Linked DNA regions of Astyanax mexicanus. The protein of the gene in region 3 purifies or fractionates together with the protein of the main gene of each other region. This does not show direct contact. Links are inferred from orthologs where the notes say so. Each region holds a gene or a part of one and is shown on either strand. Other genes may lie near its edges.

Region 1 (8,687 bases), on a different chromosome or scaffold from region 3:
AATTTAAGCATATACGTATCCTACATAAACTGTCCCTTACACTGTGTCACAATTTCATGATGAATGGATCTATAGAAATTAACCAACATGACCTGAAATAAACTCTTTTTTTTTACACTGACTGCCATTGAAGGTCAAGAAGGTTTTATCTCTCCAGTAAAGTTGTAGTTTTGGAGATACAGGTCTTTTTCCCTGGAAAGTGACAATATGCTCTATATCAAATAAAGGTCAGGTTACTATACCAAAGTAGGTTTAAAAAATAGGCCAAAACAAGAAAACCCTAGGATACAACCCCTGAATTGTACATAGAATTTTCTGATTATTACAGTAAAATTATTCAAAACTATTTAGCAATAAGTTTTGACGAGTTCAGAAATCAATATTTGGTGGAATAATCACAGTTTTCATGCATCTTGGCATGTTCTCTTCCACCAGTCTTACACACTGCTTTTGGATAAATATGCCACTCCTGGTGCACTGCAGGTCCAAATGTCTAATAATTGCATTCAGCCACTTTATGTTGCACCCATTGCTGACACAAATGTGAAAATGCACATGCAGTTTCTCCAGTCCCTGTATTTGAGAATATATGCCAATAGAATAGGACTCTCTGGAGCAGAAGAACATGAACCCTTTGACACTATGCCTAGTGCCAGGCATAAGCTATAAGGGTATTATCTGCCCTGCTTTTGTTGGAGTAACTGTCCCTACTGTACAGGGAAGGTGCTTTTCTATGGTTTTAAGCATTGCTTTAAGGATTTAATTGCATTTAGCAACAAAAGTGTTAATGTGTCAGGGTGGATAACCACAACTCAATGCTGGTGGGCTTTATACCCCTTTATCCCGCACCTGGCATTAGGGCACGGTGCCAATAGGTTCATGTTTATCTGCAGCAGACAGACCTATTCTATTGGCAATACCTCTTCAAAACTGACTAGATAATCTGTGTGTGTGTTTTAGAATAGTGTAAACGTGGCAGGTACCTTGTAGATGAGTTTGTGATGAAGGAACCTGTGAATCCAGTAGATGCACATATCAGTAAAAAAGAGAAATGAGAACATGCTGAAAATCAGCCCTGGCCAACCTGAAAACGATAAAAAAGAGAAAGAAGAAAAGCTCAGAATTAGATTAACTAAACTGAAAAAGAGTAAATAAACAGAGAAAACACATAAAAATACTAATCTTTTTTATGTGGCAATAAATGTGAAAGCTAAAGCAAGTATGACAGACTAAAGTACATAAGTAAAAAAAAAAAATATTGCTTAAATATTTATTATTATAATATAGACATACAGCTCTGGACAAAAAAAAGAGACCATTTAAAAACAATACATTTTTTTGATTTTACCAAAGTGTTGAACTTGTTTTCTTTTTGGCATTATTTGAGGTCTGAAAACTCTGCATCTTACATATTTTTTGTTATTTCAGCCATTTCTCATTTTCTGCAAATAAATGCTCTAAAGGACTATATTTTGATTTGAAATTTGGGAGAAATGTTGTCCATAGTTTATAGAATAAAAGAATAATGTTCATTTTATTCAAACATATATCTATAAATAGCAAAATCAGAGAAACTGATTCAGAAACTGAAGTGTTCTCTTATTTTTTTCCAAAACTGTAACTGTGGAACAGAACTATATGAATAATACCTCATACTGTATGCTGAGTCACTTACCTAATGGAGAGTCACTGACGTTGTCGTAGAGCTTGCTGTAGCCTCGAACTTCAGCGAAGAACAGTGCGACGGTGGGAATGCTGATCACCGGCAAAGAAGTCATAGCGTATTTTATTTCACGCCTCACCTGGTTCTGTGGAGTAAGAAGCAAATGATGACATTCTAACCTGGGTGTGGAAATGTGTGCAGATATTGAGCCTCGACTGAACAGAAATGGGAATGTAAAATCAAAAGTGCAACTTGGGAAATTTGCTCTGTCTATGTTTTGTTCTATGTTAAGATATTGAGGAAGTACTAAATATTTGAAAAACAAGATTATTCAGCTGAAAAAAAGCCTATAAATATAATTTGTACATGAAAAATATATATATATATATATATTTTTTATCAAGTCAAAATGCATTAAGCTATTTAATTTAGGAAATATGTGGGTGAAAATGTGATTTAATCAATGAAAACATGCAATAGAGCATGTTAAAAATTCAGTATTTGGCCTCCAGACAAATAGGGCTGCCAGTATTAATGAACATAATCAACTATTGAAATTTAATTATCAACTAATTGTTAATTTGTTTTGAAGAAAGCCATAGCCAGTAGAGTAAAATTAACATTGTTGTTTTATTCTATAAAGTACAAACAACATTTCTCCCAAATTTCAAAAAAATATAGTCATTAAGAGCATTTATTTGCTGAAAATGAGAAATGATTGAAATAACAAAAAGATACAGAGCTTTCAGACCTCAAATAATGCAAAAAAGGGTTCATATTCATAATAAAGTTTTAAGAGTTCAGAAATCAATATTTGGTGGAATATCCCTGTTTTTAAATCACAGTTTTCATGCATCTTGGCATCATGTTCTCCTCCACCAGTCTTACACACTGCTTTTGGATAACTTTATGCCTTTACTCCTGGTGCAAAAATTCAAGCAGTTCAGCTTGTTTGGTCATCCATCTTCCTCCTCGATTATATTCCAAAGGTTTTTCAATTTGGTCAAATCAAAGAAAGCTGTATATATATATATATAATTAAATACTATAATTTAAGTATTAGGTAAGTCAGGTAGGTTTGTAAAAAGAGTATTGAATCATATATTCCTCTCATATTAATAATACACAGTCCATATTTATTTGAAAGCTATTTTCATATGTAAAGGGAAGGAGTTACAGTACTGACCTCCAGAAACTGAGGGTGCTTCATTAAACTGTGGTCAAATATGAAAAAGTAGCTTAAAGCTCCCAGGCCGAGGTATAAAATCGCAGCACCCAGGTTGGTGACCACCAGCAGTCCAATGATCTGCCGCAGAGCCTCATCTTCAGGCCAGGAGGAGGGATAGACATAGGGAGTAAAGAAGTAATAGTCTGCAAAGTTCAGTACAAGGTCCATGGTTGGCACTGTGGGGTGAGAAAGAGGTTTATTTAAACAAAAAGCATCACAATTCAGTGATATTGACCTATAAATACATAAATATCTGTGGATTCAATCTTAAAATGTTATTAATATATAACTATTCGAATTTAATTTAGAAGTTTGTATATCCTCTTATCTCTGTATAGACAAAACAAAGGTTATAAACAGCTGAGAAACACATTATAAACACAGTTTATAAGCACAGTAAGAAACACAGTATATATAATAATGTCCATAATGCACCGTGTGTTTGTAAAAGCTGTAAACACGCTGTTTTTAACTGTACAGAAGAGACTTTACCTCCGTGTCTTACCTGGGGAGGTGCTGCAGTACTCCAGCTCCTGCACGCCCGCTTCTGCTTCCAGCACACAAACCAGCACAACACCCCCCACCTGACGCACTCACACAACCCTGCTGCGACCAATAGGAGGCCGTTTCGTCATCACGCAAGCAGGAATCCTCGAATTTGATTGGCCAAAAGCGCGATCTGCTCATGGGGTTATAGATTCAGGAGCAATGTTTAAAGGAGCAGAGTTTGCGTAGGTGCTACCTGCTTAAAGCTATTTTAATATATTTTTTTATATAATTGATGCTTAAAGAGACTTAAAGAGAAGGTTAGGAAAGGAAATTCCAATATACAGCTCTGGAAAATATTAATAGAGCACTTCAGTTTCTGAAACAGTTTCTCTGATTTTGTTATTTATGGGTTTATGTTTGAGTAAAATGAACATTGTTGTTTTATTCTATAAACTACAGACAATATTTGTCCTAAATTCCAAATATTGTTATATAGAGCATTTATTTGCAGAAAATGAGAAATGGCTGAAATAACAAAAAAGATGCAGAGCTTTCAGACCTCAAATAATGCAAAGAAAACAAGTTCATATTCATAAAGTTTTAAGAGTTCAGAAATCAATATTTCGTGGAATAACCCTGGTTTTTAATCACAGTTTTCATGCAGCGTGGCATGTTCTCCTCCACCAGTCTTACACACTGCTTTTGGATAACTTTATGCCTTTACTCCTGGTGCAAAAATCCAAGCAGTTCAGCTTGGTTTGATGGCCATCCATCTTTCAGAGAGATAAACCAACAAACTGACCTGCAATTATTTTGACTATTTTCACCACTTCTGTGCATTTTACATTGTGTGACTTTTATAGTTTAGTTTTTTAGTTTTCAGTTTATTTATCTATATGTTGTAATATGGTCATTTTTTTTAATCTGCTTATATTCTTGTTTTTTATACATTTTGCATTTAAAAATGTGTGTTTTTATTTTTTAATATATACGCTACTTTTGTTTTATAAGCAACCAGCTATTTAGACAAATAGAAATATTTATATTTACCAATTGTAATCAGTGAATGTGAGTATAATAGGCAGAAAGGGAGACAGATCGCCCTCTGCTGTTTGCATTACACTGGTACGATTCACGTGTAGTTTAATAGTTGAGAGTGTATTTATTAGTCATAATTACATTTACAATATATAAACACTTAATTTAATGTTTAATATCTTGCCCATATTTCAGATTATTTTCTAACTGCCTGTAAGAAGCAGAAATACCTTTTTTAAGGAGCGTTCCTCTAAAAGGACTACAGAATCTGTCGCTCTGAAGACGTCACCACCGCACAACTGCATTAGTGGCGCCAGCAGGTGGTCATGGGAATTGTAGTTTATTTTCATTTGAATATATATATTATACGCTTATAGTGCTTATGCTATAATTCTATGAAATCTATGAGGACACTGAGATTAAAATACCAAGAGTGTGCAGATCTGTCCTCAAAGCAAAATGTACTGCTTGGAAGAATCTAAGATATAAAACATATTCTAGATTGTTTAACATTTTATGTTTACAGAATAATTATGCATGTGGTCCTGTACAGTTTAAATATATTCTTTAATATTAAATTTACAATATAAAAATCATAAAAAGAAACAAATTATCTTCATCTGCTGGTGTTGATCCACTGTGTTGTATCAAGTTCAAAGTCAGTGCAGTGTTTTCCCGAAAAATCTTACAGCACGGATTTCATTTTCCAGCAGGACTTGGCACACTGCCCACACTGCAGCCAAAAATACCAGTTGCAGTTCTTTGGCTGTAAGTCATAATCATCAACAATAAAATAAATAAATGCCTCAAATAGATCACTCTGTGTGTAATACATCTATATAATATATGAGTTTCACATTTGGAACTGAATTACTGAAATAAGGTAACTTTTCAATGATATTCTATTTTATTTTTTGAGATGCAATAGACACTAGTATATATAATGGAAGTGATGTAAGAGTAGAGCCAGCAGGTGGAGCAGGTCTGCACTTTTTTCGCATATGTTTTTTCGCTCTCTGTCGTCATCAGTAAGGGACAGTAGAGGGACTGAGCGCAGTGGTGAGTAAAGCTGGTGTGTATCAGTTATTATTGATATGTATTTAGTATCTATAGATCAGGGCTGTGTGTGCGCAGGGTCTGGAGATGGACAGTGAGGTACAGAGGGACGGCAGGGTGCTGGATCTGACCGATGATGCCTGGAGAGAAGACCGGCTGCCCTACGAGGACGTGACCATCCCTCTGGTACCCCTATATAATAATCCATAATAAACACACACACGAGGCTGCTGTACTGAGTGCAGAACTGATTAGAGGACTTAAGTGTTGTATTTTACTGTAATATTAGCTTAGTTACCCCCCCTGATAGCAGAGAACATTACATACATGTATTTTTTGGTTCTTTTACATTTTTTATGCTCATGATGGGAAAACAAGCTTTAAATTATCTTTAAAAAAATAAAATTGTGCACAAAATATCTATTATAATTAGTGCTGCGCACTATGACCAAAAATGTATATCACAGTAATTTTATTTTATAATTTTTAATAACACCATTGCTGTTCCTGACAAATAAACATAACAGTTAATATAAGTTTGGATTGTACTGTTAGGAGTATAGCAATAAAATACAAAACATTAAGGCTTTGATTACTATTGAGTTTACTCTGTACCAAAACATTACACAATATATAAAAAATTCAGACTTCATTAGCAAAAAAACAGCTGAAGAAAGTAAACAATAGACCATAAAAATATATATGCCAACAACTTTAACCCTGCTCCCATTAAAAAACTAAATATTTTAAATAGTTCCATAGACACTATAAATAGACCTAAAATACTCAAAATGTAAGTATTCGTAGAGATATTTCTCAAATGTTCTTGTGCACAAGTTAGACACAAGTTTAATATATTTAAAAGGTCTATAGTTACTGATCTTTAAGAGTTTTGCACCAGTATTTAAGGAAGTTATCACTTGTGCTGAATGAATGATTGATTCTTTACCCCAGGACTGATTCTAGGCTCGTCTGAGCTGGGAATCGATTGCAAAATTAAATTCCTCTATTTTTCTGAGTAAATAATTGCTAACCGTTTTTCTATATTACTTGGATAAAAACACTCATACAGTGAGGAACAGCAGCAGGAGCTCCTTAGATAAAGTGCTGTTCCTATTTCTCTCCAGACAGGACAGAGCGAGACGAGCATTTGACTCCCCTCACTCCTGTGTTTTAGTTTGTTATGCTAACTGGCTTGCAGTATTTAGCGAGCTGTACCAGTATACTTTTTTCGGTTGTGCTGTTTTACGCAGCGCTCCGTTGAACCTCTAGCGACATACCAGAAGAGGAATTAAAACGAATCCGCTAATCCGGATGAACCATTATACAGTCCAGCACAATTTCAGATGGCAGTATATCCTTTTTTTTTGTTTAAATATATTAAGATCATGAGTGTACATGTCTCTGTACATTTCATTACAGAATGTCACAAATCCTGTTAAATTGAATAATATGCAGTAAAATTTACATAAGAAAGAGCATTTGAATAGCAGATTCATTAATGCTAATGAATTATCTCTGCTTGTCAAAATATGGTAAATACTGTGTTGTAAAAAATTCTTTAAATATTGTAATATAACATTTAACATATTACCCAGCTCTATCAGCACATGATTATGTACAGCAAGGGTGCTGGCTATACTGTGTGTATGTGTATGTGTATGTGTATATATATATATATAAACCAGCCATAGTTGGAAGTATTTTCTGACTAGATTGTACAAATTACAGAATATTTTCAAAGAAAACAACAAAGCACTTTTGTAAGTCACTCTGGATAAGGGTGTCTGCTAAATGCCTGAAATGTAAATGTAATCTCTGTGTGTGAAACTGACCTAAAAAGGCTCATAGGCTGTGATATTAATGTTTTGTTTTCTTTCTCTTTTAGAGTGAACTTCCAGAAGCAGAGCAGGATAACGGTGGATCAACAGAGTCAGTTAAAGAGCAAGAAATGAAGTGGTCTGATCTGGCTCTTCAAAGTTTACATGAAAATACTCCAAATACAGGAACATAGCGTAATCGTAATGATGATGATGATGATGATGATGGTGGTGGTGAAAAATATGCATGCAAGTTATTGTGTGTATGGTCACTGCCTCTATGTTAGGTCTTTGGAGTAAATGACCTGTTTCACTCATGGGTGAAGGACTTTACTCACAGATCTGGAGACTACACTTGTTAAATAATGCCTGGTGGCTTAAATAGCCCAGAATCAAAGAAGTGCTTTAACGTTCAATTATATTTTGTGATATGTGAATGAAGAGTAAATGTTTTGTATCTAAAAACCATGTAAAGCTTCTTTCTGGAGCCTCTTCATTGTGTTTCTGTCGGACACACCTGTGGAGATGTGAGAAATTGTTAGAAGAAAATAAACTTAAATAAAATTATGAAATAAGTGTGAAGTTGATGCAATTAGAAATAAAAAAAAATCTAAAAATGGGTGTACATCTCTTTAGAACAAGTTATGAAGAAGATATACTGTACTTCTGTAGTTGATTTTATCAGAACAAAATAATTTACACAAAAACTGCTAAAAAACCTCTAGCTGCTTCCTCTAGAATTTAGTTTATCATTGTCAATATAATTGGTATTTTTGAATTTACAAATGTTAATGTAATGTAAAATTGATTAAAAGTGATTCCATAAATATGTACCTACTTTATGGTGCTGCATATGTAAGCAGTCACTTATTCAACATTATGTTTTATTTAATTGACATTGCCTTGTAAAACTTTTTTACAGACTTTCTAAAATAGCCTAATTATATTGACCCAAAAATTCAATTTATAAATAACAATAAATCTGGAGATTAATATATTTTTTTAAGGTATCGTACACTCCGTAAGCCTGTGCAAAGTTTTCTGCAAAAAACAGTCCTTGGCCTGTATACAAACTACAAGTGTAGATGATAAAAACTCTTTCTCTGCAGTAAAATACGTTATTTGCATTCTGAAAATTTTGAGGGCCCTGGAGGTTCCAACAGGATACTATGTGAAACTGCCGTTTCTCTACTGCACTTAATATTTCTTAATAATTATTAAAAACTAGACAATTATAAAAAAATAAAGGTTTGGAGGACATTAACTGTTTAATTTGTTTTCAGGAATTTTAATTTTATTAATTTTATAGTGTTAAGGAAAGCACTAATTTTATGATTTTTGTTAATTATACCATAGTTATTTCTGACCCTGCAATGTGATTGGCTGAGAGGTG
Region 2 (8,063 bases), on a different chromosome or scaffold from region 3:
ATAAAAGTTAAAACAGTGATTAAAAACACTTAACTCAACATCAGCATAAATCCAATTAGCATTGACTTAAAAATATTTTAAGATTGTTATCAGTAAGGACGTAAAATGTTGTAAATTGTACTTTGGCATTTAGACTCAAATTTACAAATGTATTCGACGACAAACACTTACAAAGAAACACCAAGTAGTGCATAATATAATTTTATGTGAAATTCTCAAGTAACTAGACTGCACTAAATTATTTGTGTAGATACAGGGGTTGGACAATGAAACTGAAACACCTTTCATTTTAGTGTGGGAGGTTTCATGGCTAAATTGGAGCAGCCTGGTGGCCGATCTTCATTAATTACACATTGCACCAGTAAGAGCAGAGTGTGAAGGTTCAATTAGCAGGGTAAGAGCACAGTTCTGCTCAAAATATTGCAATGCACACAACATTATGGGTGACATACCAGAGTTGTTGGTGCACGTCATGCTGGAGCATCTGTGACCAAGACAGCAAGTCTTTGTGATGTATCAAGAGCCACTGTATCCAGGGTAATGTCAGCATACCACCAAGAAGGACCAACCACATCCAACAGGATTAACTGTGGACGCTGTAAGAGGAAGCTGTCTGAAAGGGATGTTGTATCCAAAAAAACATAAAACCATGGCTGCCCAAATCACGGCAGAATTCAATGTGCACCTCAACTCTCCTGTTTCCACCAGAACTGTCCGTCGGGACAATAAATGATTGTGGTCTAAAACCAGGTGTTTCAGTTTCATTGTCCAACCCTTGTTGTACTTAAATAGACTTATTTATATTTACAAAGTCAAAAAAGCTTAAAATCAATTGTTAGTAACACATGCAAAGGTCAAAGCAATGGCTTTAAACATCCCTGTTTCTGATTTACAGACAAGATAATAGACATTCACTAAATAACAAATACAGAATAAGTTACATTTGTTATGCAATAAACAGGATTAACACACAGCCGGATTGCTGAGTGGCAGCACAAAAATCAATCGCTGGAATCTGGGAAAGGATAAAGCCTCTCACAGCTCCACTCTCCGGCCGTCCCACGGGAACAGACTGTGGGTTCTCTCGCTGAGGGAGGAGAGCACAGGCATGAATAGTGTCTTTCAGTTATAGCAAATATCAACCAACTGCTGAGATCCTGTGAGCAGCCTTGTGTACAGCAGCCTGTAACACGTTCAGTTATCAGCAAAGATAGAGTAGACCAGCGATTCTCAACTGAACTGGTGGGTCGGGAGCCAAAAGTGGGTCGCGGACTTGTTCTGAGTAGGTCGCAGACAGCTTGAAAAAAAAAAAAAACATAAAAAATATATAATAATTATTATAATGATAATGCTTTTTTGTACTTGTCTTTTATATTGGGGGAAAAAGAGAGGCAGGGAGTTACTAATGAAATATCTTATTGTGTATCCTCTTTTATTTTGCACAGTTTTGATTTTTAATTTTATTATTGTAACTTTTATACATTTATACATATTATACTGTTCTCATACAGAGTTCCCCAACGATGGAACAAACTACCTTCCACTACCAGATCAGGAGAATCTCTCGCTATCTTTAATAAACTCCTGAAGACAGAGCTCTTCAAAGAGCACTTACTCTCCTAACACCTCTAACACACTAACTACTTCTAACCTCATTTCCTTTTTCCCCTCCTTCACTTCTCTATCCCTTTATTTCCCTTCGACCTCCTTTAAGCCCTGTCTAAAAAATGTTTTACCTTTAACTTCTATTTTGTTCTTGACTATTGTAAGTCGCTTTGGACAAAAGCGTCTGCCAAATGTAATGTAATGTAATGCAAACATTTAGTTGTCATGTTCCTCCTCAGTTTCTTAAAGAAATACTAGTAAATTCACTTTGCATATGTATGTTAAAATGGATTTTTAAGGCCATTTTTAAAAAATAAGTTTGCTTGCGTTCTATTCCATAAAAGTGGGCCGCGACTGGTCCTGGGCTAAGACCAGTTGAGAACCCCTGGACTAGACTATTTCAGCTTCCTCCAGTCAGCTTCATCCCATGTGGAGGCCTACACATCTTTAAATTCTCCTTTTTAAATACTGTAAATGATGCACCTGGTTCTGCAATTTAAAAAAAAATGTCTAGTGGAAGTGATGCAGGGAGACAGACACCGATTCTCCTTATGAACATTTTCATCAGCTGGTAAGAAACCCACAATCGCAGTGTCATGATCAAATGTCTACAATGAGCCGTTTCAAAGAACGTATAGTGATTTCTAGCTTGTAGTGTGAAAAAAAGTATCTATTTGAATATCTCACAAAAAAAGTAAAATGAACTGAACTTTGAACTAGTTCAGAATTAAAATTGTGAACTTTCAACGTGAACTGTTCACTTTGAGCATGCATGAAGTGAACTTGAACTAGTTTAGAAAAGCTGTGAACTGGCACAACACTGTCCCTCCTGACAAAATGTAAAGTTTTGAAGCTGATAAAATGTAGTTAAAATGATATAAGAGAAATGTAATCCCCAATCACATCTATCTTCTGTCTCTAGACTGACTGCTCCTCACACAGTTACTGCTTTAAAGTACCAGAGTTTCATTTCATGCTGGAGATTCATGTGAATATGATTGTGTTTAAGCAGGTAGATGTAGAATTTAAGGTGGAATAACTATAACAAACGTCATAGTTATTCCAGCGGAACTAAGTTATAGTTCCTCTGACAAACACTAATTATGTAACAGCTGCAGTTCTTAAACTGGCATAGAAGGAAAATAAGAAAATGCAGTTCTTTATTCTGCCACCTTAAAGAGTGCAGCAGTTTAGCCCAAGCACCTGTAACTGCTTCACTGTTTAAGGTGGAATGAAAACATTAAATAAGGCAGTGTTAATGTGATGTGGAAGTATTTAACTTATTATTTAAAATGAACTGCTTCACTTTTTAAGGTGGAATTGAGTAATAAGCATCAGATGTCAGATTGTATTGGTGTATCTCGGCGAGTTTAAGCGAATACTAGACAAAATAAACGCAACCAAATCACAAGAATGATGTTAAATCAGTCTGTCAGAGATTTTCCTGGAGGAGCTGTGATCATTGAGGGCTTCACCTGAGACTGGAGGAGCCCTGAGAGCAAAGTTAGGCTAGACAGGACTTGAATTTCACCTGACACTGAGCAGACTGATCACTCCTTGACTTGGTACAATGAGCACTAGATACTATGTGGTGAGCAGCAGATACTATGTGGTGAGCACCAGATACTATGTGAGGGGCACCAGATACTATGTAAGGGGCACCAGATGTTACTGTATGTGGCAGTAAACAGTTGTTTTTACATGTTAGTCTCTGGGGCTTACCTCATTTTATGTGGGGCTCACCACATAGTACATGGTACATATCTGAGAGCTTCTGGTGTCCAACATTTAGTATCTAGTGCTTACCATAGTATCTGGTGCTCACCCACCACATAGTATCTTGTCCTCACTACATAGCATCTGGTGTTTACCACATAGTATCTGGTGCTCACTACAAAGTAACTGGTGGTTACCTGGTGCTTACTACACTGGTGGTTATCTGGTGCTTACTACATAGTATCTCGTCCTTACTATAAAGCATCTGGTGTTTACCACATAGTATCAGGTGCTCACCCACCACTTAGTATATTGTCCTGACTATATAGCTGGTGTTTACCACATAGTATCAGGTGTTTACAATATAGTATCAGGTGCTCACCGTGCAGTATCTTGTCTTCATCATATAGCATTTGGTGTGTACCACATAATATTTGGTGCTCACCACATCGTATCTGGTACTCACCACTTAGTGTAGTATCTTGTCCTCATATCGCAACTGGTGTATACCACATAGCATCTAGTGCTCACCACTTAGTATCTCATCTTCACTATACCGCATCTGGTGTTTACCACATAGTATCTTGTGCTCACTACTTAGTATCTTGTCTTCACTATGTAGCCTCTGGTGTTTTCCGCAAAGTATCTAGTGCTCACCACTGACTATCTTGTCCTCACTATACCGCATATGGTGATTTCCACATAGTATCTTGTGCTCACCACTTAGTATCTTGTCCTCTTTACATAGTATCTGGTGTTATTTGCTTGCATTTAAACAGCAGGTAGGCCATATTAGTTTAAAAAGTAATATAATATAATTTAATATAATAATTATTTCTACATTAATTTCCTCTCATATGAACAGTACGTTAAGTAAGCAGTGCTCAGGGCTTTAGCTGCTCTTTTTATTTAAGAGAAACCCTGCTGTTCATTATATTCATGCAATATCAGAGGGATTTGTGCTGCATCCACTGCTAAGAACACAAACAGTCAGTGGTGGTTCTGGACGCTTGGCCTGGGAATGGAGGAGGAGCCTGAGGAGCAAAGTCAGAATAGACAGAGTGTTTCAGTTCAGTTCTTCATTCAGTCTGATCCTCTGATTGAGACAAACTTTCTGCTGCTGGATTTTGTAGCTCATCTATAGATCGACTCATGAGGATGAGGATGGTATTCTCAAGGAGAAGATAGGATGATCCAGCACAGACAAAACTGAACTGAGGTGGGCATTTTGAGATATATTCTGTTAGTGGGATACAGAATATACTTTTTTTGAGTATATTGTGGATATCTTCAGTGTAAATTAACAAATTAATTAGCTTTCAATCACAGAGAGAGTAATTAGTAATGTTTAGGATAAGTTATAGAACATTTTGATTATATTTTTTGAGTATCATTTTAAATATAAAAAAAAAAATATTGTAAATATTGTGATTCATCTCATGATACAGGTATTTTTACCATATCGCCCAGCTCTTGTCTGGACCTCCACTAGGACTAAACTAAAGATAAACAAACAAACTTGCCATCATTCTGCTGTGTGTCAAATTATTATGATTATTTTTTTTAATGCATGTGAGATGTCTTATTTGAACACTCAAATAAGCTCTAATAAAACTGATAAAAAGTGAGGGAAAAAATAGAACTTTTTGTAACGTTGTAAACTACAGCTTGATTTGGATCTGCTGCTGGAGCTGCCATATTTAAAGTGGAAGGGAAAATGCTAATGCTTGCAACTTACTGTAGAATTAACTAATCAATTATTAAATTAGTTTCCAACTGATTTAATTGATTAGTTGTTGCAGTAGAGTAGTTGTAGCTCTACTCTAGTGTGTTTGCCAGGTCTAAATCCTACTCCATTATTATGTTTGTCCCACTACAAAACTGCAGAGAAATAAATACATAAAAAATGTATTGTGATTTTATTTATGATTAAATAACAGAATAATGTTCTAATGTTCTAATTTTATTTAAATATGCACTATTAAAAGCTTAATCTTTAAAAGATAAACCTTGTGATTAATTACAAAATGCTGGGATTAATCTGATTTTTGTTTTATTAATTGACCACTAATAAATAGGTAAACTTCACTTACCTCACTTCCAGACATGTATTTCAGACTTAAGTAAAAGTACAAGTGCTCAATCAAGAAGTTGAAGGGTTTTTTAAGCTCCAACCTTAAGCATAAAAGTAATAAAGTATTTTACATTTTTGTACTTAAGTATCAAGTAAGTAAATGTAGTACTGAAGTACTAAAAAAGTACAATATTTTGTTATGTAGTTGTTACAGAAGCAGTGAAAAGAAAGATTATGTGGGCTCAGAATGATTTCTAACATTTTTATAATTGTAACAAATAACAATTCAGCACATAAAAAAATATCAGAGTAAAAGTATTAAACTCATCCAAAATATGTAGTAAAGTAAAAAGAAACACTCCAGTAGATACATATACAGTAGTTTAGTACTTAAGTACAGTAGTGTAGTAAACATAATACTCCAATATGAGTACATATACAGTATTTTAGTACTTAGTAGTTAAGTAAAAACAATACTCTAGTAGATACAGATACAACATTTTAGTACTTATGTACAGTAGTGATGTCAAAATAATACTCTAGTAGATACAGATACAGCATGTTAGTACTTAAGTACAGTAGTAAAGTAAAAATAATACTCCAGTAGATACAGATACAGTATTTTAGTACTTTAGTACAGTAGTGAAATACAAATAATACTCAAGTAGATACTGATACAGCATTTTAGTACTTAAGTACAGTAGTGAAGTAAAAATAATACTCCAGTAGATACAGATACAGTATTTTAGTACTTTAGTACAGTAGTGAAATACAAATAATACTCAAGTAGATACAGATACAGCATTTTAGTACTTAAGTACAGTAGTGAAGTAAAAATAATACTCCAGTAGATACAGATACAGTATTTTAGTACTTTAGTACAGTAGTGAAATACAAATAATACTCAAGTAGATACTGATACAGCATTTTAGTACTTAAGTACAGTAGTGAAGTAAAAACAATACTCCAGTAGATACTACGTTTTAGTACTAAAGTACAGTAGTAAAGCAAAAAGTAATACTCTAGTAGAAACAGATATAGCATTTAAGTACTTAAGTACAGTAGTTAAGTAAAAAACAATAGAAAAAGTAAAAGTAACACTCCATGAGATACAGATGCAGTATTTTAATACTTAAGTACAGTAGTGAAGTAAAAATAATCCTCCAATAGATACAGATACTATATTTTAGTACTTAAGTACATTACTTAAGTAAAAACAATACTCCAGTAGATAGCAAAAGTAGGAGTAGAAGTAAAAGTAACACTCCATGAGATACAAATGCAGTATTTTAATACTTAAGTACAGTCCTTAAGTAAAAACAATACTCCAGTAGATAGCAAAAGTAGGAGTAGAAGTAAAAGTAATACTTCATGAGATAAAGATGCAGTATTTTAATAATTAAGTACAGTACTGAAGTAAAAGTAATACTCCAGTAGATACAGATACAGTATTTTAGTACTTAAGTACAGTCCTTAAGTAAAAACAATACTCCATTAGATAGTAAAAGTAGGAGTAGAAGTAAAAGTAACATTCTATGAGATACAGATGCAGTATTTTAATACTTAAGTACAGTAGTGAAGTAAAACTTATACTCCTGTAGACACAAATACAGTATTTTAGTACTTAAGAACAGTAGTAAAGTATTTATATACAGTAGTAATATACATTTCGTCTCGTTTCTGCAGGTTAGATCAGTCTTCAGCAGGTGGTGGAGCAGAAGGAGCTGGGAGATACTCGGAGAAGGTCTTACCTGGAGTTTTGGGGGAGGAGCCTAGAGAACCTGTGCCCATACTTGGTCAGCGCGAGGCGGATGGGCGAGGTCACCTGGTTGCGTCACGTGCAGAAACTGTGCTAGTTACCTGCTGCCTCGCAGTTCCTCCATTTAGCCTGGGGAAGAGTTCCAGCTCTGAGGAGAGCAGAGAGAGGGGATTTCCGAGGATTATTCGGTTTATTTTCTGTTACATGGAGACTTTAAGGAGTGTACGGCTGGGGGTTCTTCTCGTTCTACTGCAGGTAAGTTCTGCTTTAATTGGGGAAGATTTTAAACAGCTGTTTTTCTTACAAATATGGTCAAACATGTAGCTTAGCTAACTAAGAGTTAGTAGTTTGGCTTTAAATGAATTTAAACCAAGTAAAACATCAGCTACACACGGTTTTATTGCTATTTCTTTGGGTTTATTGGACTAAAATCCGTTTATTTCAGTAAATAAAACAGTTAAAAGAAGCTGAATGTGTTTTTTCTCGTCCTTTTTATTACAGGTGCTCTCCACCAGCTTTGCTGATCAGACGCCATGTTCAAACGGATTTGATTCAGCGGTGTTCATTTTCAAAGTGCACAGACCTCACCTTCACAGAGGCAGGAGGCTGGGCAGAGGTAAGACACTGGTTTTATAACCTTACTTTTTAAGAAATGTGATGTTAAAAATTGGAAAATGACTCTTGCGATGAGTATTTATACTTGTTAATGTGAATTTTTGTCTGTAAACTGGTTTAAACTTTGGTAAAGACCACTAACATGAATACTTTTGCACTTTAAAGTTTAGTCTTCTGACTATATGGAAAATATGCTGGTAAAATTAAGACTGCGTTATATGGCCCTAAAATAGTATCACGATATTTCAGGGTACTTTTGCGATATTAACGAGGTTCTGACAAACGTTTTTTAAT
Region 3 (8,521 bases):
ATAAAAATGCAAAAAAAAAATAGGTATGTCTTTTAACTTTTATGTATTTCTTTAACTGTTAATCTATTTTACCAGATGCCGCTGTCAAGCAAAGTAAAAACCGCTCACCATAGGCAGCGTGTTTATTCTAATCCTGCAGCAATTAGACTTGAGGTGAGATGCTGGCCAAAATATTCAGAAATATGATGTAATGATTCCAGGCAAATTAACAACTGTTAGAGGCACCTTAAAATTTAAAAACCAGGTTTTGTCTTCAGATGCTGCACAAATAAGTTATAGGGAGGTATATAGCTGGGCAATATGGCCCCAAAAATGTTTTATTAAACTACAGATGATAAAGAAATGGTTAAAAACAAGTTTTTATTTATTTTGTTTTTACTTAAATTGTCCCTTAATGGTTATAGTGCAACCAGAAACAAGCAAAAAACAATTGTAACAATTGAGAACATCTAGTAATTTTTAGAAAGCTTTCTCCAACATAGTTTAGGTACTGACACAATGCACCCTCAAACCTGTTTTTTTTTTGGTTTGCCATAATGTTTGCTGCACTTACAACACATCATAACACTTTTGTTTTACATATATTACATTGTGATGAGATTTTTGTTAATCAAAAACAAAAAAAAACTTTATGAAACATTGGTGTTCATGACAAATCTTTGATACTTTAATTGAATCTGGTTTAAATCATGCTGCATCAGCAGCAGCTCAAAAAGAGGCGGAGTCTGACTTCACATGTATCGGAGGAGGCGTGTGCTAGTCTTCATCCTCCTGGTGTTGGGGCACCACTAGTAATAGGGGAAGTCTGAATAAGTGAGTTGGGTAATTGGTCATATAAATTAGGGAAAAATTGGGGAAAAAAATAGAAAACAATTCTGGTTTTGTTTGGAATTCTATTTTTGTATTTATTTATTTTGTTAAATGTATTGTTATTTGGAGCAACCACTCATCGTGTGGTGAAACCTATAATAACAGTACTGTATTAAATTTAATATAAAGTATAATTTTTCTGTTGCTGAAATATTGTATGGCAGTATGCTGAAGTTAATGGTGTTTTAGAACACATTTTAACAGTTTTATAGGATTTACTGGAAAAATTACCCTATTAACTACATTAAAGCCAATAATTGTGATAATAATGCAAATACTTTATTTATAGACACTTTATATTAGTGGGAATTTGTAAAATAAAAATAAAGTATATTAAGGAAATGTATTAATTTTAACATAAATCACAGTCGCACCACATGACATTTTGTAAGGCCAAGGCCAATTCTAAATGAAAATACACTAAAATCACTCAATCTAAAATTTTAATATGAGTTGGTGTTCACAACATTTAAAATTTTGGAACAATTGCAACAGATATTACAGATATACTTATTGTTAGAATTTTAAAATTGGCATGTTGAAAATCCTTATACATCATTGACCCATATATAAATTTTTACAGACATTTTAATCTCATTTGAACCATAGTGCTAAGGCCTCACTTATAAAACTCTGTGTAAATTTTGAAGAGAATGTGTGCGCATGCACAAAAAACAGGAAATGGCATGTGTATGTATACCTGAGCGCTGTTTCCTCTTTGTAAATTATAAATGTGCGCAGGTGACCCAGTCTCATGTTCTGCCTCTATACCGCCCACATTTACCAATAAAAGGTCCATGCAAATCCTTCAATGAATATTTAAAGTGGGATTTCCCATTCATACTGAGTGGGACAATAGCAAGATTTTGGAGACTGTAAAGTAGAAGTCCTTGTGTCGGAGGTCGAGGTGGGGAAGAATGTGTTAATTGATGCTTTTAGCCAACATGTAGCTGCAGCAGTTAATAATGTAGCTCAACAAGCCAAACTATTAGAGAGGTTAGAAGAAAGTGTTCAGATACAAAAATGCTGCTTCACCTGCACATATTTTCCAATAGTTGTAAAAAAAACCTGTAAATGTACATTTATTCCATGATCCATTGGTCTCTATAAATCTGTGCCCAACTTAGCACACAGTTCCTCGAGAATGGCTCCTTGAAACCTAAATCGGCTCTTTAATCAGCAATCATCATTCACAAAAAAATCTATTTGTAGAGCTGTTATTTTTTTTGCAATTAGGTACAGCTGTTTATGCTCGTAATTATCTGCAACTGCAACCCAAAACATTTTTCTCTTTCTTTATTATGGATTATAATTTGTTATAATAATAATAAAATTGTGATAATAATAATTATAATAGTAATAATACATTTGAATACTGATACTTTAGATACATCTCCTTTGAATTTTAAAATTGTGAGATAAAACAAAACAGATAATACAAATAAAATTGAAATACATTACAGCGTGAAATACACAAGTTAGTGCAAAAAATAATACTTCATATAAAGCAGAATAAGATACAGCAAACATTGAAACATTATACATGCAGACAAAAATATATTTAAACAAATATGGGTTAATCCTGCTTAATCTTTCGTTCTTAGTCTTGATTTATGCGGTATGAACTTAGTATGCATGAGGGTAGTTTGCGCATTTACTTGCTATTTACTTACCACATGATGTCACTAATTCCCGCTCTCTTTGCAATCTTCTAAAGGAATACGGACGCCTTAAACCTTGCTGAAATGTACGCTCGTTTTCACGGCAAGTATTTCTTTATAAATCACAGCAAGCGTGAGATGTTGTGCACGCACATTTAATATCACGTGATGTATTATAAATGTATTAGAGATCAGGGGCCTCATGTACTAAAGGTGCGTACGCACAAAAACATTGCGTACGCCATATTTCACGCTCACGGTCTGATGTACTAAATTTGACTTGAACGTGTGAAAGTGCGTTCCCCCACGGAAGTTTTGTTTTGGGCGTACGCCTTTTTTTTGTGCGTATGTATTGTGTTTTTGTCATTTGGCGACACTTAGAGGCGATGCATTGAAATTACAACTATTAAGATATCCTTTATGCACACATTGAAGTAAGCATTATTGGGTAAAATAAAGTAAATTAATCAGACAGTTTCATTGTCTTACAGAAATAATCGTTTAACGTGTTTCCACTTAGCCTAGATCAGGTTTGCGCTGGAGTTGTTGGAGATGCAGCGTTGGCATTACTGGAAAATACTGCTAATGGCCGAATTCATTGAGCGCGCATTTTCCGTGATCATTATGTTTTTTTGGCCCATGATGATGACTGGCTTATAAGCAGTTTTAGATTTCCAAGAGCATAAGAAAACAAGCTGAGTACGTGACGTGTGTCTTTTTGGTAGGCAACTCATTTAAAGCATTTAAATGAAAGCATTTATCTTAGAATAATAAAACTTAAAACATGGGTAATTATACGCTATGCGTATATAATATTATTATTATTATTATTATTATTAATAATAATATTATTATTAATAATAATAATAATAATAATAATAATAATAATAATAATAATAATAATATAACATTATACTCTGCGTAATTGAGGGAGGAGTCGTGGCAAGTGTGCTGCTTTCGTGCATTTGCGCTTGATTTCAAGTTGATTGTGATGTACTAAGAGAAAGTACGTGGAATTCTGCCTACGCACGGTTTGATAAATCATTTATCAAACCGTGCGTAGGCAGAATCCCACGTACGCAAGTGTCGCAAGACGCGTAGCGTAATAACTAATAATTACCCATGTTTTAAATGTATCATTCTAGGATGGATAATAAATGCTTTCATTTAAATGAGTTGCTCACCAAGAAGCCACCCATCACGCACTCAGCTTGTTTTCTTATCCTCTTATGCTCTTGGAAATCTGAAACGGTTTATAAGTCAGAAATGGTCACGAAAAATGCGCTCTCAATGAATTCGGCCATTAGCAATATTTTCCAATAATGCCAACGCTGCCATCTCCAACAACTCCAGCGCAACATTTTATGCATGTTTATATAATCTAGGCTAAGTGGAAACACGTTAAACGATTATTTCAGTAAGTGAATGAAATTGTCTGATTTAATTTATTTTATTTTACCCAAATAATGCTTAATACAATGTGTGCATAAAGGATGTCTTAATAGTTGTAATTTCAGTGCATCGCCTCTAAGTGTCGCCAAATGACAAAAACACAATACATACGCACAAAAAAATATTATTTATTATTATTTAATTTATTTTGTCTATTATTTTTTTTAACCTTTAATTAATAATAATTGTGGTGTTCGTTTAGTCCTCTATTTCTTTAATTGTGTTTATATTATTTTATTATATTTTTTATGTATCTCTTTAGCCTCTCTGCATATCCTTTATTCTGAGTTTATTTTATTTCTTCTTAATTGAAACTTACATTGTTTTCTTGTTTTATAATTTAAACTTATTTTTCAGTCCCTTTAAATTTGTAAATGCTTGGCTGCATTAAAAATGAGGGTTAGCCTTAATGTATGACAGAGTGGAAAAAAATGTTGATTGATTGATTGATAGATGGAATACATGCCAGTGTGCAGTATGATATTAGAAATTCAATGGGCTGCCATCGGCTTTCACACGCTGTGTAAATATATAGTACAGAGCTATTTACTTTTTTGTTTTCTTAATGTTTACCCCCTCCGATTGTTCCCTACTTACAAAACTTGTCAACATTGTGTTTGTTTTATATTTTCTAGCACAAGTGTCACAAATGTGTGAATCAAACCCAACTATTTGTACATGATTCTGGATGATTTTCCATGATATTTAAAATAAAGGCAAATTATTATTTTGACAGCCACATCCGATTTCTGCACTAATTTATACATTATATGGTTAATAAAATACATGAAACAATATACAGAATATAAGACAAAAGAAAAAATATATATTGACATTATTTTCACTTAATTAATATGTTTAGTGTTTGGGCACATGACTAATTGGCAATTAAGGAATTAAAACATTAACGTTACTTTTACTTCTAATATACTTCTAAAAAGATTATTAACCATTTAACTCAAAACATTTGATTTAAGTATTAAGACTATTTTGTTACTTATTTATTTTATTTTAATTGCATAAGTGCAACTTATCCGGGCTTTACAATACTGGAAGGCACTCATTAGAAGGTGTGTCCACAAACATTTGGACATGTGTATTAATGGCATGCATAGGAGCTCGTTGTTTTCCGGCAGTTCTCGGCTCTTTCCGTGGCAGGCGAGTTTGAATCGGCGGTGTTCGGTGGCCGATAACGGTCAGTGCTGTTCAAATCTGACGCTGTTAGCATTTAGCTTCTCCCCGGCTAACATACAGAGACCGGAGCGGAGAGGGAGCGCGGAGGGGCAGTCCAGGAGGCCGGCCAAAGCGACGGAATGACGGTGTTGCAGGAACCTGTACAGGTATTCAGCCACAGATTTAGGCCGCTGTGTGTAACCCGGAGCGGCGGGGAGAGTTTCACCCATAAGCCAAACTCACAACTTTACTCGGGGTGATTTTGAGCTCCTGGCTTCGGCCTGTTCGGCGCTCTGCTCCTCAAACCGCAGGGCTGTTCTCTGTCTGACAGGATTCTAAACAAACGCACCCCTGAATCCTACAGGGTGGAACAGACGGGATATTACCGTGATTTAAACACCTGAAATGCAGAGTATTTTAACGCTAAACCTGCTGTTTTCGGTCTCTCTGGTGCTGGAAAGCGGGGCTAAAGTTAGCCTGTATGCTAGCGGGTTCGTTCTTTCCTCTTGGTTAGCTAACGTTAGCTTAGGTTAGCTGGCTAGTTACCCCTCAGAGCTCTCGGGTCTGCTGTCTGTATAATTATTGCTAAAGATTGTGTTTAAGTTATGAAGTTTACTGACGAGCGTCTGGCCGTTTACAAGTTGTCAGGATCGGCCGCTGCGTGCAGTGTTAGTAGCTAGGAGTATCCCATGTTAGCAAGGCGAGCTAGCCTGTTATTTAGCTAGCTAGTAATGTTACTGTGTTTAATCACCTAGCTCACAAATTACTCTTTACTGCTGGGATTTGTCATGCTCCTTTCTCGTATAGCTGTCATGTCACCTAAATAAACAAGAGCCACTGTATAGTTAATAATGCCGGGCTATCCGCAGAGCTGCTTACCTACTATAACAGTTCATATTGTCTTCATGTCTGTTACCTACCCAGTTAGTCCTCCAGCTGCTCAGTTTATTAGCTCAGCTTGCGTATGTGTCTTAACGTTTATTTTAAATGTTAGGTGAATGGTTTAAAACCAGCTACACCATATTAGATGAGCACATGCATTTAACATAACCTGGAGATACTTATTAGTCCGTTGCTATTTTTTTACGTGTTTCTAGTTAGCTAGTTGCACATCAGCTGAGACGTTGCGCTTCACTATCTCTGGCAGCCCCTTATTTGATTTTCTTTTCAGGGTATATGTAATTAAACTCTTTAATACCTCGGTCCCAGCTGCCACTTAGCAACTGGCACTACTTCATCTTACTGATATTGTGCCATTTTAGCTTGTTTTTTTACCACTGTCAAATAAATAAACATAATAAATAATTGTGGGCTGCATTTTAATATAAAATCCTGACACCTTTTTATCGACAAATTTCTTTGTTTAAAAAAAAAAAAATCAGTCTGTGTTGCTGCCAAGTCACAGTCTTGTTTATTTTGTTTATGCCTGTTAATCAATACCCCCAGCTGCCAGTTTGGCTTTTATGTGCACCTTAAAACAGAGCAAATATTACGTAAATATTTTAACCATACTTGTGCATCTAAAAAATAGACTATTATTGAAAAGTTACTTTATTCCAGTAATTTAGCTCACAATGTGAAACTCATATTACACAGATGCATTACTCAAAGTGCTCTATTTTAAGCGTTTATTTATTTTATTGTTGATGATTATGGCTTGCAGCCAAAATAAAATTTTAATGATAAGTCCTATTGGAAAATAAAATCCTCATATCCATAAAAGTTGTCAGCAGAGGGAAGCGAGCTGTAAGATTTTCTGGAAAAACACTGCACTGACTTTGGAATTGATATAACCTAATGGATCAACACCAGTAGATGACGTGACTCTCCAAACCATCACTGACTGTGAAAACTTTACACGAGACCTCAAGCAGCTTGCACTGTGTGCTCCTCCACTCTTCCTCCAGACTCTTGTCCATTGATTTCAAAATGAAATGCAAAATTTACGGATGGTCAGTGATGGTTTGGAGTGACTCTCTGGTCCAAATGTTTGTGTAAAAAGGTTAGTCTGGACCAACAAGGTGGATGTCAAAGCACTGATAGTCTCTGACCCTATTAGACCCTATCTCTAAACCTATAGTTTACTAGGTTAGATGTTCGCAAATGCTTGCTAGGTTGATGTTCTAGTCCACTGTCTTTGTAAATGTTATCTCTAATTTAAGAGACCTAGGTCTAGTAGATCTGGGACACTTAGAAACTAACGTTTGCCATGTCTTAAGCTGACACTATGCCATTCCGTCACCACTGGGATTTCAGTAAAACTAACATTGATTTGGCGTGCAGTTTGGTTTCATATAATCCACAACCTCTTGCTTTGACCTTTTGTAATATATTTATGTCTGCTGTGTTGTTTGTCTATAGGCTGCTGTCTGGCACGCTTTAAACCACTATGCCTACAGAGATGCTGTATTTCTGGCAGAGAGGCTCTATGCTGAAGGTAGGGTTCAAAATCTTTTCAATGATGACACATAATCAGTAGTACTAAACATTAATTTCCATTATGTCCTGTAGATCATACACCAGTGTTACTGTCTTGTTAATCTTTTGCTTAAAAAAAGAAAAAAAAATAACATGGAAATATATAATATAATCTGTATAGCCAAGATTGGAGTAGTTTTGTTTGTATCAAGCATCTCCTAGAGCGTGACTCAATTGCGATAACATTGTTGAAATTAGCTATAACGTACATTCTCCTGTTTTTCTCCTAATTTAGCTTGGCCAATTGTTCCACTACTCAGCTATATATCCCACATCACAAGTGATTCCAAAACACAAATAGGGTGAAGACTAGCAGACATCTCCAACACGTGAAGTCATCCATCGCCTCTTTTCTAACTGCTGCTAATGTAGCATTGCCGGTGGTCGACTACACATGTGTTTGAGGAGGCGTGTGCTAGCTACATGACCGGGATTCAAACCAGCAATCTCCCAATCATAGTGGCAGCGCTTTAGACCGCTGGAACACTTGGCGACCCTAAAGGGAATATAATCTAAAATTAAATTCATAATTTACTCTAGATTACAAGCTCCATGTTTAGGCAAATTAGCTACTTTTCAAAATTAGCTTTCTTTGTTGATCAATTCAGTGTTTCTCAGAAGCCTGAGCAAACCTGGGAGTAGCCTGGTGGCTTTGGTGGTGAATGGGAGACTTTCGAATTGATGTTTTATTTAATAATATCTCTTAATATTATACTCCATCATTACGGCAACTGATTCCTGACAAATTAATCATACACACTTTTCTTGAACTGAATTGTCCCATCGTGCCTGAAATCTGCTGCATTCACAGACTATTTTTCAGTTTCTTTGTAGTGTACATGTTCTCCCAAAAGGTACATTAATGTATGCATATTGAAGGAAAGAAG
Region 4 (7,924 bases), on a different chromosome or scaffold from region 3:
TATTTGAACTTTCTACTCCTTTAAAACTCCATTTTAAAAACAGCCTTGTTACTCCTGCCATTTCAGCTTGTTTTGGTTCCGGCTTTTCATCGCTCAAAAAAAAAAAAACTCTCAGATGAATCTCTCCATTCAGATAAAGCAAATCTGATTGTGGTTGGATGAGAAGAATAAACATATACCATTCTGACACCCTATTGGTTCATGCAAAATTCATCCATATGCACGTCATGTCACTCCAGCAAGTTTATAGATTTTTTTGGTTTCTACTGCATGTTTGTATCAATTTTCAAACAATATTTTACAGTGACATAGTCTTAAAATGAAAAAAAAAAAACAGTTTAAAAGAATATCATTATCAGAAAAATACCATTAAATATTGTGACATTATTTTAGGTCAATATCGTCCACCACTATCTCAGCTTCTTTTGTATTTTAATTTGTATATTATTTTAATCTTATGCAGTTTATATGCATGCACTACACATATTGCTTTTTGAGTTAAGTTTGTTCTTTATGTTTTAATTTTAGTTAATGCCGTTTATTTGCAAGCACTACATTTATTGTTTTTTAGTTTAGTTTTCTTTTTGTCTTTTATTTGAATATTATTTTAATTTTTGCAGTTTATGTACATGCACTGCAGTTAGTTTGCATTTTATATTTTATTTGCATTTATTTTATTTTTATGCACTGCATATTTTGCTCTTTAGTTTTGTGGTCGATTTTTTTTGTTTCACAATAAACATTTAAAAAATATTTTGCTGTAGAATATAATTGAAATATTTGAAAAGTAATATACTTGTAAGTATTAAAGCATTTTTCAATAATATTTTTATTAGAAAAATAAAAAATATAATATTGTGATATTATTTAAGGGCAATGTCTTCCACTACTAATTTATCTCCTTTACTATTTGTAGTAGGCCTAACTTTTTTATTAGAGCAGAATGAATATTATGTACTGCATGGCCATAATCATATCAAAACTTCAAGACAGAGAGACAGACAGACAGCACGCCAGACAGACAGACAGACAGACAGACAGATAGCCAGACAGATGCTGCTGACTTACAGTAGGCCAGCAGAGCGCTGGAGAAATCCCCCTGAATTTCTTTCCTCAGTGATTCCCTCCTGCTGCTGCTGCTGGATCTCACATACTTTCTCTATGCAGTAATTGCACTCTTGGCTACTTATAGGCCAAAAACTCACTCTTTTCAGATCCCCACACTGAAAGACTTCTCCACTTGCATTTTGTGGCAACTTCACAGGTTTGCATGACAAACACGACATAATTAAATAAATCATGGAAAAATGTACCAGGGAAACTTTATGCCTGACATCAACCTTGGCAGGTGAGCCTTCATTGCATGGTGATGATGCACACTTTATGGAATTCTGTATGGAAAGGGGAAATCTGAATAATTCCATGCAGACTGTACAAAGTCTGTCGTATGGGAACAGACCTGCATAAGAAATTGTACAGTGATTGGAATCAGAAAAAAAAACATTTGTGATTTAGTGCATAATTAGTTTTAATCTCACTCATCTGCATCAGTTTACATTTCCTCCAAAATGAGTTCATGCTGACAGCTTGATTAAAATGTGTTCTTGATGAGACATGGATAGCAAAATTCAGGATTCAGTAACAATAAAATGAGTGATGAGTGAGTGACTGCTGCTGTGGAAGCACAGTCCCTGCCTACTATCAGCTTGTCGGCCTAAACTTCCACTCGCAAGCATTGTGAAAGCCAACTCCAACCCCAGTCATTACACTAATCTTTTCTTCTGTTTTGTCAAGTTATTTTGAATTTATTTTGTCCCTGTTGTAACTCTGTCTGCACTTAAGTCCTCCCTGGTGGAGGTTTCCATTAGGGAGTTAAGAATAAATGTAGCAGCAATCCCGAGATAAGTACCATCCTTTATTTTGCTTGCTGCTCTGTTACATAATATGTTTGTAAATAAAATATAGACATCAGAATTAATATGAAAAATAAAATAATACATGAAGTAGAGCAGGAAAGATCAACACAAAGGGCCCTTTTTCAGTGCAGATTGATTTAGGGAGTGTGAGTATGTTTTCACTATTATAACGATGGCAAAAGGCTTATATTAACTCCCTTAATCATAGGTATGTTTGGGCATAAAGTGCAATGAACAAATCTGTCTGCCTGCCACGGACTGTACTGCTCTCACAAAAAAACTCCATTTCCCAGGATACACCTGCCTCTAACCTCCCGGATGTTCCTGACCACGTGACGCCTCATGTGATTTCCCCTGTATATATAGCCCCTGTACTTTTGACCACTGTTTCCTATCCCTTTGTTTTGTTAGTCTTCTCATTGCAGACCTATTTTTGTATTATGACTACCCTTTTGCCCTTCTACTCATTATTGAATATACTGTGTATGACCTCCTTGCATACATACTCTGGTATGTTGCTTGTCTCTGCTGCCCTTTTGTTATTGACCTTGCCTGTCCCTGTCCATTCCCGTAAGCTTAGCACTTTTTAAATAAACTGTGCTTTTGGTATCTGCGTGTGTCTGTCGTGTGTTGCCCTCAAAGAGCCAGGTGTGATATAATCGTAACCTACATCTCTATTTAAATGACGCAGATGGAAGGTGTGAAAATAGACCCCTTAATGGGGTGCAAGATAACAATGAGCATTATATGACAAGGCTTGTGCACAGTGTATACATTTTAGTCAAAAAAACTAAGACTAAATCCAAATCACCTGTCAAAATTACCACTGCTAGACTACCAGCACAGGGTATTTTTTTTTCTGGATAACTATCTACAATGTAGAAAATAAATTAAATAAAGAAATAGAGAAAAACAGTAAAGAAAAATAAAGAAAAACATGAACTAAATTAAACTTTTGATTGGTACTATACATGTTTATTTAAATAGGATATTTGTTACAATAATAACAATACATTATTAAATTATTACTGTATTATTGTAATGTTATTGGTTATGACACTCAATTAAAATCAAATAGTTACAAATAAAAATGTATGTACTACATAGTATATAATTACAATGTAGAAATATATGAAACAATTTTATTTAACACTAAATACAAAATTACTACAAAAAACTCTCCTAGAAACGAAAAAGTTTAACTAAAAAATGCCATCAATTAACCCTTTCAGACCCTGCATCTATTTACAATGGAGCTGTTGTTCATTAGAATAGACCATGAATGAACCAGCCAATTAACAAGTTTATAAACCAATGAAACAGTAGCTTAGCCCCGCCCACTGAACTGGAAAAACAGTAGTACTAGTAGTAGCCATTGATTAGTAACAGTTTACTAATTTAATGTGATTTAGAACATTTAAATTTTTATTTTGCTGTTTGAGTAAGGTTTATGAAATAAAAAGGTAAATAAAAAATATATCTAAAACATTACACACAGACTTCCAATGCAATGGAAAAAAAAATAGTTAATAGGATTTATTTGCTATATAACTACATTTTATAGTAGAATATTATAGTCTTTTTTCTGTGCATTACAGATAGAAAACCGCATTCTTAAATATCTTTTCTTCACTGGAGATAATTTAGGTCTGAAATGGTCAGTGTAACGTTTATTAGTTTAATTGTCTGACAATTTAATGCTAAATTCGAAAATAGACAATTGAGGGTAAAACTCATTTTTTTTATTCTTACAATTTGGTGTAGTACAGAAGAATTGGGTTTAAATCAATTTTTCCAATTTTCTATTTTTTAATTTCTGCACCTACCAATTAAAATTTCAGGGAAAATGAAAAAAATGTATATATTTCTCTTTTTTTTTTCCCTTTTGTAACAGAGTTGCATTATAAACCATCAGATTTCAAGATACAAAAATGGAAAAATCTAAAAAAGAAAAAGAATCTAGAATCTAAAAAAGGCAGACATGATTGGAAAAGATTGGAAAAAAAAAACAACAAAAAATTCTTCTTCACCAAAGTAAATACAATAAATAAATAAATAAATAAATAAATAATTAATTAAGTTTTATACTTAATTTTCTATGTTTCTATGCTCTATTTTCTATGAAACAGTCAGAAAATTGAAGTGATAAGACGTTATGGATCAACAGAGCGGCTCTTCAGCGCTGACGCTGTGCGTAATGGCGTCATCAGCGTTGCGCTGTGTGTTTTGATGGTGCGCATGCGCGCCAGTTCAAACGCGCTCTGAATTCAAACTGAGCGGCGGGTGAAACACAGAGAGCAGCGCTGCTGAGAGAAACAATCGCGGCAGAGCCATGTCCAAAACACTGCAGGGAATCACGCTGAAAGGCAGCGCCGAGCTCGTGGCGGAGTTTTTCTGTAAGTCGAGCCGTTATTGTGTCCGTTTGTTTGAGAGAACCGGGGATGAACCGTCTTTAAACTGTAAACTGGCTGCGTGTGTAACGTTAGATAGACAAGGTTAGCTAACAGTTAGCTTAGCTTAGTTTAGCTAACATTAACTAGCGTTAAAATAGCTCCACCACGACTCCGTTTAATTTATATACAGTAATTCCGCTGGACACTAGTTAACCTACATTTAGTTGGTCGGTAAAACACTGAGAAGCCTCTTTTTTGTCGTGGTGAAACGTGTTTTTAACGGAGTCTAAACTGGCGGAGGGCGTGTTTAATTGTGCAAACCTTTTAACGTTAACGTGGGTTCGGTTGTCAGTGTTTTAGCACGACAGCAGTCGCGAGTTAACATAGCTAGTTAGTTGTATAGTTTTATGACAAGGTTCCCCGTACAGTTGTCTGTTAGCTAACTAGCTAACTAGATTACATTACACTTGTGGTCATGTGTCGAAAAGCCCCAGTTTCGTCATTATTTATAAATAAATGGCTGATCCTCCTCTGCATGGCCTGCTGTACAACCACAGCTAACACCACATACTGCTTTAGACAAAGTAATGATCATTTAAAAAGTTACTAAATTACTTAAGTCTGACTGATTTAAAGTATATATTTGTTCACTGTGTGTTTTTTTATACAGCGTTTGGGATCAACAGTATCCTGTACCAGAGAGGAATTTATCCTGCAGAGACTTTCTCCAGAGTCACACAGTATGATATGAGTCTTCAGCTCACTACAGACCCCAAGCTAAAGACCTACCTTACCAACGTTGTGACACAGCTCAAAGGTAGACTCACTGTTCACACTACTACTACTGCATTAAAAAATAGAACATTATTGAAATGTTACTTTATTTGAGTAATTCAGTTCAAAATGTAATACTCATAATAATAAAGGTGGAAAATAAAAATCTACATCTCCATAAAAGTTGTTAGCATTGGAAAGCATGTAGTGCTGTACGATTTTCCTGAAAAAACACCTGAACCTGATTTATCACAGTGGACCAACACCAGCAAATGACATGTCTCTCCAAACCATCCCTGATTGTGAAAACTTCACACTAGACCTCAAGCAGCTTGGACTGTGTGCCTCTTCACTGGTTTGGGTGGTTTGGAGAGTCTGCTGGTGTTGCTCCACTGTTTTATCAAGTCCGAAATCATTTCAGTGTTTTCCCGAAAACCATACAGCACTCCAGCTGGACTTGGCACACTTCTTACACTGCCAAAAGCATCAATTGGTCTTTATTTAATATTCTAAGTTTCTGGGATACTGATTTTTAATTTTTTAATTATTAACACTAAGAATAAACTCTTAAAAAATATCACTCTGTGTGTAATACATGTATATAATGAGTTTCACATTTTTAGCTAAAATACTGAAATGAAGTAACTTTTTAATTATATGCACTTTAAAATGCAACCACATAATATAGTAAATCCATAATATCTGTATCACCGTGCCACATGGAATGTCTTCCATATAACCCTAGATACAAGTAATAATCTTTGTATCTATCTATCTCTATCTATCTCTCTATCTATCTATCTAATAAAAATCTGAATTTTTCAAAGGTATGTGATTCTCAATAACAATTTCACAATAACTTCAGTTTATAAACAAACAGCACTATTTAAAGTGCACAATGAATTATTGCTTTCACATTTACTTTCAACAATTAAATACCTATCCCATTTTGAAAATTGCATTAGAACAGTAATTTCATTAATCAAATTAATTTGATTAAACTCCCAGCCCAGATATCTTTTTCTTTTTTTCTTTTCTTCTTTGTATAGATACATTGTAGTTTTTAGTCCATTATCATCTTTTTATGTGGCATGACAACTGTTTCACTGCTAATTGTACTGTGTGTGTGTGTGTGTATATATATATATATATATATATATATATATATATATATATATATATATATATATATATATATATATATATATATATATATATATATATAATTGTAAATAAAATACACTCATATTATAATATTGTTTGATCTTTGCTTTTTATCAATAAACGACTGACCTGTTTTCCACAGAGTGGCTGTTTGATTGCACAGTTCAGAAGCTGGTGGTGGTGATCACATGCCTTGAGACAAATGAAGTCCTGGAGAGATGGCAGTTTGACATTGAATGCGACAAGACTGCAAAGGATAGCAGGTATTATTATATTTGAGGAAATGTCAGTAGATTTGTCCTTATATTATTTGAAGTATCTGCAGGTGAAAGTTTGTGCAGTTGTTAATCTGATCTGTGGTGTGTTGCGTATTTTAGTGCTCCCAGAGAAAAGTCTATAAAAGCCATCCAGGAAGAAATCCGTTCTGTCATCAGACAAATCACAGCCACTGTCACCTTCTTGCCTTTACTGGAAACTGCATGTAAGTATTCTACCTTCTCATTAACTATGTGTCATGAATTACGTTCTTTGTTTCTATTATATTTAACTTGTACTATGAAACATGGTGGTTGAAAGTATGCAAATGTTCCATGTTACATAGGATGGCAAATGTGTGTATGTATATGTATATATGTATGTATGTATGTATGTGTATATATATATATATATATATATATATATATATATATATATATATATATATATATATATATATATATATATATATATATATATATATATATTTTTTTTTTTTTTTTTTAGTTTTGGTAAAGTGTAGTGACAACTAGCTCTCAAACCAAAATTTAAACATAAATACAGGTTTGTGAGAGAGATCTGTATTACTACTACATGGGTTTATAGATATAGATTATTGGGTTTATAGATAGGTATTAGAGTAAAGTCAGTAACTTTACTGTAATACTAAGTAAGGATAATATGTAAGTGCATGTTAATATGAAAATAGTGCTATAGAAAGACTCTTTGTTTGATGCTAAATATTGTCCAAATATGATTTTTGTGAATCGTTGCATTCCTTCTGGGTTATTTTTAGTATGAGATTTTGATTGGGGTAAAAAATGTGGGGTAATTAATTTTGCAGTTCTAGTAATTTATTAAAATAACCGTTTTTTTCTTCATTATATTTTTAAAAATTAGCTCTGCTTTAATTGTCAAGCTTTATATTATCATGGCAGCTTACTGCATCCATGTAGTATAGTTTTATTTTTAGCAAGGTAGTTTAGTGTGCTATTAGTGTTGCACAGATACCTTTTTGAGCTCCCCTCTGTGAACACTAGCACAGAAGTTTTTTGTGTCATCATCTAGCAGAGGCTGGTGGTTTTGTGAATGCTCTTCATTGTTACAACAGTGATCAACACCATGTTGTTTATGTACTGTATAAGTAGGTGTAGAAGTATTCCTAATAAAGTGTATAGCGAGCATCACTAAACATTCTATTTTGAACTGATACAGGTGCCTTTGACCTCCTGATCTACACAGACAAAGATCTGGAGGTTCCAGAGCAATGGGAGGAATCTGGGCCTCAACTTATCGACCAATCTGAGGAAGTGCGGCTCCGGTCTTTCACTACATCGATCCACAAAGTCAACAGTATGGTGGCCTACAAAAGAACAAACTCTATGTAACCATATTCCTTTCTCACTTTGTCTGTTTTTGTAC

The links.
Region 1: the proteins of cdc27 (region 3) and anapc13 purify together in Homo sapiens (affinity purification with mass spectrometry; 5 studies listed by BioGRID and IntAct, counting the BioPlex papers as one, with this or other methods). This does not show direct contact. The link is inferred for Astyanax mexicanus from reciprocal best matches to the Homo sapiens genes CDC27 and ANAPC13.
Region 2: the proteins of cdc27 (region 3) and B-cadherin purify together in Homo sapiens (affinity purification with western blotting; 4 studies listed by BioGRID and IntAct, with this or other methods). This does not show direct contact. The link is inferred for Astyanax mexicanus from reciprocal best matches to the Homo sapiens genes CDC27 and CDH1.
Region 4: the proteins of cdc27 (region 3) and mad2l1 purify together in Homo sapiens (affinity purification with western blotting; 29 studies listed by BioGRID and IntAct, with this or other methods). This does not show direct contact. The link is inferred for Astyanax mexicanus from reciprocal best matches to the Homo sapiens genes CDC27 and MAD2L1.

The regions. Positions count from the first base shown.
Region 1 is NC_064424.1:8,786,661-8,795,347, forward strand, and holds anapc13 (anaphase-promoting complex subunit 13), read left to right. Parts: upstream 1-5,378; 5' UTR 5,379-5,477; intron 5,478-5,552; 5' UTR 5,553-5,561; coding exon 5,562-5,660; intron 5,661-7,362; coding exon 7,363-7,488; 3' UTR 7,489-7,870; downstream 7,871-8,687. Other genes in the region: sc5d (lathosterol oxidase), read right to left, coding at 984-1,084, 1,676-1,808, 2,850-3,059. UniProt on the Homo sapiens protein: Component of the anaphase promoting complex/cyclosome (APC/C), a cell cycle-regulated E3 ubiquitin ligase that controls progression through mitosis and the G1 phase of the cell cycle.
Region 2 is NC_064430.1:28,568,842-28,576,904, forward strand, and holds the start of B-cadherin, read left to right. Parts: upstream 1-4,421; 5' UTR 4,422-4,540; intron 4,541-7,081; 5' UTR 7,082-7,358; coding exon 7,359-7,409; intron 7,410-7,655; coding exon 7,656-7,770; intron 7,771-8,063.
Region 3 is NC_064410.1:15,204,956-15,213,476, reverse strand, and holds the start of cdc27 (cell division cycle protein 27 homolog), read left to right. Parts: upstream 1-5,140; 5' UTR 5,141-5,296; coding exon 5,297-5,323; intron 5,324-7,517; coding exon 7,518-7,593; intron 7,594-8,521. UniProt on the Homo sapiens protein: Component of the anaphase promoting complex/cyclosome (APC/C), a cell cycle-regulated E3 ubiquitin ligase that controls progression through mitosis and the G1 phase of the cell cycle.
Region 4 is NC_064415.1:32,657,691-32,665,614, reverse strand, and holds the start of mad2l1 (mitotic spindle assembly checkpoint protein MAD2A), read left to right. Parts: upstream 1-4,153; 5' UTR 4,154-4,248; coding exon 4,249-4,312; intron 4,313-4,979; coding exon 4,980-5,126; intron 5,127-6,389; coding exon 6,390-6,510; intron 6,511-6,624; coding exon 6,625-6,728; intron 6,729-7,717; coding exon 7,718-7,890; 3' UTR 7,891-7,924. UniProt on the Homo sapiens protein: Component of the spindle-assembly checkpoint that prevents the onset of anaphase until all chromosomes are properly aligned at the metaphase plate.